2 linked regions of the Solanum lycopersicum genome follow. The protein of the gene in region 2 interacts with the protein of the main gene of each other region in a biochemical or structural test. Links are inferred from orthologs where the notes say so. Each region holds a gene or a part of one and is shown on either strand. Other genes may lie near its edges. The genes, in order: protein PIR and protein NAP1.

What was found.
Region 1: the proteins of protein NAP1 (region 2) and protein PIR form a complex in vitro, tested with the Arabidopsis thaliana proteins (2 studies listed by BioGRID). The link is inferred for Solanum lycopersicum from reciprocal best matches to the Arabidopsis thaliana genes GRL and PIR121.

Annotation. Positions count from the first base shown.
Region 1 is NC_090810.1:6,869,383-6,873,209, forward strand, and holds part of protein PIR, read right to left. Parts: intron 3,128-3,827; coding exon 3,058-3,127; intron 2,963-3,057; coding exon 2,898-2,962; coding exon of another isoform or gene 2,861-2,897; intron 1-2,860. UniProt on the Arabidopsis thaliana protein: Involved in regulation of actin and microtubule organization. Part of a WAVE complex that activates the ARP2/3 complex. Interacts with the active form of RHO-family GTPases.
Region 2 is NC_090801.1:54,801,436-54,805,262, reverse strand, and holds part of protein NAP1, read left to right. Parts: intron 1-155; coding exon 156-236; intron 237-443; coding exon 444-524; intron 525-624; coding exon 625-707; intron 708-3,619; coding exon 3,620-3,704; intron 3,705-3,827. UniProt on the Arabidopsis thaliana protein: Involved in regulation of actin and microtubule organization. Part of a WAVE complex that activates the Arp2/3 complex.

The sequences.
Region 1 (3,827 bases), on a different chromosome or scaffold from region 2:
GACAAAAACAATATTGCAAAGAGCAAAATTAGTGGTCAGACAACAGAAATCCTAAAAGAGATGAACATTTTCTGGCTTCATCAACAGTGTCAGTTTTCCATCATTTGTGCTATACTCAATCAAGTGGCTTAGTATAAAAAGGTACTTCAGACACGTGAAATACAATGCTAAAAGAACGGACCAATGATATCAAGGTTGGAAAGTTGATTACCTTTCTAATATAAGATCCTCTCAAACAGATTCTATTCAGTTCCAATTGTTTGAGCCAATCTAGCAGGACATACAAGTTGGCTACATCACAAATCCAAGTTGGCTACATCACAAACTGGTTACTGATCGCACTTTTATAGCTATCAGATCTCTTAGCATTTTCTTTATCAAGTAAATGTATTTTCATACATAAACATGGCCAAAACTGACTGTATACAAGGGGTATACCAAAAGGTAAAGAATCTTAAAAAAAACATGATTCTCTACAAACTCCACCTAATCTTCTATACAACAAGGAACGCTACGGGTGCACCAAAGAATATAAGGGGCCGGAGACTACTCAACTCAGTAAAAACTTTGACTCCACCCCTCCATGTTTTCCTTCAGCACCTTCTTCCAAAGGGTTTGATCCTCCTGTGAGTACCTCCATTAGCCATTTCATAAGCATACTTTCATTCTGGGTCGTGAGGTCTTTGATTCCCAGGCCACCATGGGACTTTGGTTGTGTTATTGCTTTCCATTTTACCAAATGGAATTTGTGAGTTTTATTGCCTTCTTCACGAAAATTCCTTTTTAACTTTTTTTTTTGATTGTGGTGTCCAGATGCTTGTGCGCACCTCAACTAATTCCATGGGATATCTGTCACCTCCCACCAACAACAGGTACTAGATAACTCTATTCATCAAAGTTAGAACAAAAAATTCCTTTTAACTGAATCTATCAGTTTCAACACAAGCATGGGGATAAGACATAGGGACAGAATATAGGTGGGTAGACTATCTATCAGTTTCAACACCTTAACTTAGTCTATAAACCCATCAACTTGTAGCCACATGTTCCCAAATTTCAACTTTGAAGTATGAGGAGTTTATTTCTCAATACCTTCAAGCATTATGGGTTTATGATCTGAGAACGTCTGTTTAACCTTCCAGAAGGTGTTGCTCCATTCATTAGCAATTAGAATTTTGTCTATTCTTGATAAAGTGTGTTTTCACCCCTAGACTAGATAAAGGCTGCACCTTCTAAAGGCATGTCTATAGGGCACAGATCTTCAATTGTTTCTGAGAAGCCTCTCATTGTCTTTGATCTTCTGGTGCAGCTTAAACATGCACTCTCATATCTGCAAACATTATAATCACCCCCTATCACCCACTGATAATTCCATGGTCCTATAATTACGGCAAGCTCATCCCAAAGTTTTGCTCTTTGAGGATTTGTATGAAGGCCATAAACCCCTGTGCAACACCACCTAAAATACTCTTGGACACTTTCGAGCATATAACAAATTGTGTAGGATCCGTGTTGCTCTCCTATACAGCTCCAACTTCTCTTGTTCGATAGTGTTATCTCCCCACCACTACTGCCACTAGATTGTAATTCAGCCCAGCCAATCCATCCAGTTCCAAACACCTGTTGTGAAAAGCTAGATGTCCATTCCTCAATATTGGTATCTTGAGGGCATGCAATATCTCCCACTTGAGATAAGCTAGATGTCCATTCCTCATTTGGTTTCTTGAAGGCATACTGGCAGAGTATATCAGTTTTCAACTTGCGGATTAAAAATTTCAATGTTTTGTTTTATTGCTTTCATCTAACCCCACACATACCACTTGAGCATCTGTAGCTTCATTTAGAATGGGATTTGAAAAACCTACCCCTTCCAGTGCTATCACCCCATCTTTCAGAGTTTCACTTCATCATAATTGACCAAGAATTTTAATTTCTCCAACTCTATATCCTTATTTGATCTCTTTTTCTTTCTTTGTTTGCATGCTGATTTTTTTGTTGTAGTTGCAGCTGCCACCTTTGCTCCATATGCTGGATAATGTTCAGAATTCATGCTCAAACAGTGACATGTTGACACCAGAAAAATTACAATCCTTAACGGTTACAATTTTGGTCCACCTCAAAGTCACTATCACATGGGTTGTGATTGTGTGAGAGTTCGAACCTACTTTTTTTTTTAATGACCGTGGTGTCCGCGCCAGCTTTCGCACGCCTCGACTAATTGCACGGGATACCTGCCACCTCCCACCAGCAACAAGTACCAAGTAATTCTGCCAGAGGACAAATGGGAACAATCACCTAGTGTTTTCCGTCTCCACTTAGTTTTGAACCAAAACCTCAAGGTTCACAACCACTTCATTGCAACACCCTTGGGTGCAAGAGTTCGAACTTACTTGGTTCCATGGGTGAGAGAACTACTAGAGTGAGAGGAGAAGTCATAGTTAGGTTGATAAACCAGTGGTCTCTCTGCTTCTGGAATAACACTTCTGAGTAGTGTTTGCAACACAATTTCAAGATCGGACTCACAATCTGCATCAGAATGGTCATCATATTTAGTCTTGGCTGAGAGAATTGCTGGAGAGGCACTGATGTTGTGCAGGGAATTAATTTCATCAGATAGCAGGTCAGGTCTAGCATCAAATACAAGAATGGTTAATCAGTTGGCGCAAGCATCTAAATTTAAAAAGGCCCGCCTTTCTCCGATAGGTTTTAGTTTTTTTACTTCATTTGAGCTTTATTCTTTGGATTAGCCACCAATAACATAAGATTTATCATGACAGATCTTAGGGTCATGAGCATCCAGTCATAAATACATAACATTCATATGCAACAGAATTCAATCAGTGCAGCAACATTGATTCACCATTCCTCTGGGTAGAGAATCAACATTTGAAGGATACTTGTTGACACGGAACATCTCAACATGCAAGTTCAACAAAATAGCCCACCTCGTGCTCAAGAAGATCTGCAAGTACGTTACAATTCATGTTCAGCACATACAAATACGTGCAAGTTAACATTATTCAAAAACCTAAACATACACGAGAAGTAGATATATACCTGTAAATCATCCAACTCCTCTCTCATTGAATCTGTATCTTGCCACTGCACACTAACTTGTGTGAATGTCCTGGCATATTGAATATGACAAACAAATGAAACACTTTCAAATAGGAAGAAGTTCTATTAAATGGATGGTTACGTTGAACTTCCTGGTGTTATGAGAAGTACAAAATAGTGGGGAAATGGAGAACCACCATGTAACAGATTTCTTTAAGCTGCTTCATTCAATCGATCAACTAAGCTTAATCCCTAACTAGTCTAGTGGACTATGAGAATCCTCCGCATTTATTATGCTCTATTCAGGCTCATCTCATTCCAAATTTAGGCTACTTCATTATAAACATAAAATTTATGATTGATGCTTCATGAGATACTCAATTGTTTCTCTAGTGCAAGCACCCAGAAAAAACAAACAATTAAATAGGATTTTGTGGGACCTGTGGCTTTTACCATTTCTTCTTGGCCATCGTTCTCTCCTTTGCACCGTGAAGGGCCCACCAAGATTTGGCCCATTCATCCAGGCAGACTGGTAGTTCAAAGGTCAAAACCAGGATCTTGCCTTTTCCACACCCTTAGATGCTCTGGGTAAGGGGTGTTGGGGTTACCTCTAAGATTTGGTGGTTACACAATTTTTTAGGGGGGCACAACAGCTCCTATCTTTTCAAGAACTCTTTCAAATTGAAAAATCAGAACAAAAATTTGGAGCAAAGAGTGACCACACTCAGTATACACTGAGCAAGAATATACAACTCCTTAAAAGATATTAC
Region 2 (3,827 bases):
TGGTATTAGGTGTGCAAATTTTCCGGGATCTCATCTGTTGGGTGTTTTCTTCTATCATAGTTTTGATATTTGTTTGTTGGAAAAAGTATAATTTCGTTATCAAAAGTTGATATAAATAGTATATGCACATAATCAAGCTCACTCTTCTTGATCAGATGCTTCTTGACCTGATGGCATTTCGAGAACACGCCTTGCGTCTAATATTGGATCTAAGCAGTACAGTGATTACCTTGTTGGTGAGTGATGATATCAACTTTTTATCTCCAACTAAAGTTGTTGTTAACACAAGAAAGGAACTTTATATAGCTTAACTTACTCTTTTCAAATAAAAAAGGACTGTTATAGCCTTTATAATTTTTGTCTTGAGTCTTGACTAATAGGTAAGCTGAGTCTTCTTATAACGAAATCGTATGTGATATATTTACATGTTTCTTTTGCTGCAGCCTCACCAGAACTCTCTCATACTGCATGCGTTTATGGACCTTTTTTGTGCTTTTGTTCGTGTAAATATATTTTCAGAAAAGGCAAGTACACAAACAATTCTCTATCTATTATTTTCTACTCTGTATATTGTTGAGATGACACTTCTACGCCGTAAACTGTTCTCTTTATCATCCATCACAGATACCAAGGAAAATGATGTTGCAAACATACAATTTGCTTCATGCCATGGCAAGAAATGATAGGGACTGCGATTTTTATCACAGGTGAAACTTCTTATGGATCTAGGCTTATTCTCATTTCTTATAAATTTTTTTTGAGCGGGGGGCTGAATAGGTCTCTTTAGCTTAATTTTGAATAACTTCAATATTTCTCTTTCTTTCACTCCTTAGAGTAATTTGTGTTACATGGCAAGGACTTAGGCTCTTTAGCTTCATTTTAAATAGATTCAAAATTTCTCTTTCTTTGACCCCTAAAGTAATTTGTGTTTCATGGCAAGGCATTGGTATCTTTAGCTTCAATTTAAGTAACTTCAAAATTTCTCTTTCTGTGAACCCCTTGAAGTAATTGTGTTACATGAATCTGATATATAGTTTGCATTTTGATATACTGCTTATTCTTTTCAAAGTCACCCTTTTGTCTACATGATGAACAACATGCCGTTGGTTGGACAAGTTTTCATGGTTACAAAGGAGTGGCTCTTTACTTGGTTATCAGTATCATCTATGGGGTTCTTCTAGGTTAGGACATCAAGCATGTGAAGAAAATGAGTTATACTTGATATCTGCAATGGGAAGTTTAGTCTTTATGGTGAGACTATTTCCAACGATGACTTTCCATTTGCTTTGAGCAATTGAGGGTGGATACAGTGAGCCAAATTTTGTAGATCCTCTTCTGTTATTTTAAATTTTTTATGAAGTAAGATGTCCATTAAAATTTAGATCCTCTTCTTTTCTAACATATATATTTGATCCATTTAGTAAAGCCTTGTTTTTCTGCTTAATACCTGCGATGGAAAGGAATGCTCTTCTTAGCCAGACAACAGTAGTTTTAATTAATTGATCATAATGTCAAAAGTATGAAATGGTGGTTGAGCTGGTGGAAAGAATAATTAGCTACATCCAGCTTTATGATATATGGTAATCTCTTGGTGGATTGTAGTTTCTCTGGTTGTTGTCAGAGGGCTCCGGGAAATTATGTTGCCCTTGAGAAAGCATGATCAGATCTAGAAGTTTATCATGATGTCAGGTTTGTGTGGCGCCCACAACGGGACGGCAGGCTGATGAGGGTGGATTAAGGAGAAGGATTGGCAGGGTTGTAGGTTGGCAAGCTTTTGAAGAAGGATGTGTGTATGCCACCTTAGGCGAATCTCATATTGGTAGGGGAGGGGAAAGTGAAGTCTTATATAAGACATATCACAGGTTCACATTGTACATGGGTTTTGGACTTGATGTGGCATAATTCAAGAAACAAATCCGTGAGATTTGTTGGGACAAAGTGGACGACATGTGCTATGGGATTAAGCTGCAACAACTATGGTATCGGAGACAAACCCTCGCAGTACGATGGTGTGGCAACCTTCAACCAGGATGCTGAATCCTTAATGGGGTTCCATGTGCTGACCATGAAAAAGGGAGGGCTTAAGAGAGCGGGTTAAAGAGAATGACATGTAGAGTTCTAACTTTTGAAAAAGGGATGCATATAACACCTTAGCCAAACCCAACATTGGTCTAGAGGAGAGTAAAGCTATATGAGACAGAGCATAAGCTCAAATGGTACGCGTGTTCTTTGACTTGATGTGATAATTCCAGGGGATCAGTTTGTGAGGTTTGTTGGGACAGAGTGGACATACATATCATATGAACCTAAATGCACTGAAGGGTTCTGTCTCCACAACAATCTTTTATTAGCTCCTAGCTTATTTCTCCGGCAACTGGTTGACATATCTGCCACTCTTTTGGGAAAGAACCAGTTGATATTAAAGATGGAACAGTGTCGTGCAATCTAAGAATAAAAGGTGCCCAGGGTTGAGGAAGTTGAGGCGCTTTTTCAGTGGCTGTGGAAGTACAATCAAGAACACGATGCTTGTGTGCTGTAAGTCTTCATCATATCTTTATTTGGTTCATGGAAACATATCAGATTTATGGGTTGAGTTCTGGACATTTCATGGGATTGGGAGGTAGTCGGAATATTGGATTCTGGTAGTATGCAAGGATTGGGCATACACCTCTGAGGGAGGAACTTTCAGTCTTTTCAGTATGAATAAATTATACAGTCTGTGCCGAAATAACGACTGGAGTGTCAACTTCAGAAGGAAGCTGGTTGATTGGGAAAATAGATAGTCTAATCCTACTAATTAGCAAGTTCGGCAAGAACACATTTACCATTTTTTAAAAAAAGAATGGGTAGGAGATGGGTCAGACATAGGGGTGGCATAGTGGAAGCATGAAGGAATGTATACTGTGAAATATGGCTACAGAATGCTCTCCGAGATGACAGTAAAGTCACAATATTACTTGTGACAAATGCTATGAAAACTGAAGTCCCATCTAGAGTTGCCTATTTTGAGTGGACTGCCCCTCATGAAGCATGCCTAACTATAACTTGATGGAAGGAGTTCCCCAATTGGAAATGGTTAACCGTTTGTTTTTGCATTGTGCTTTGACAACAGAGATGTAGTGCATATTTTAAATCTTTTGGGGTTCAAAAAGATGATGCCTACAATTCCAAGAGAAAGGGTTGGAAGTGCAGGAAAGCACAAAGGAACATCTTAAAAATTTGAAATGCTATTTCACATCGACTAATCCCCCCCACCCCCACCCCACCCCCACCCCCACCCCCACCCCAGCCCACAAAATAGAGAGGGAAAAAGATCTGATTGCCATACCTTTATGTGTTTTATGGGTCAAATGGACAAAACCAACAAGAGATGCTTTAAAGGAAGTGAAAAGACTCTACATGGATTGACACATGCTTGTCAACATTTTATTATGGTGTAACTTAAATGTTGTACATGACATAGATAACCTGATAAATTTTGTTAGTTCACAATAGTCAATTATGATGAGACATTCTGTATTTTGTGTATGCTGATCACTCTACTCTGAATGAAAGTGATTCTATATAAAAAAGAAATATAAGCAGTTCCGCTGATTTCTTTCTTGTTTTGCTTTTCCAGGTTAATCCAGTTTGTTGATTCCTACGATCCACCCTTGAAGGGTCTGCATGAAGACCTGAATTTTGTCAGCCCTCGTATTGGAGAGGTCTTTGCTCCTGAATACCGCATTCTTGTAGAGAAGTTAAATTATTCATTTACAATGTCAAAAGGAGTTCTCGTGTCTAACTTGCGGTACTAATGCTTATTTTTGGAACAAAAAGAAAAAAAA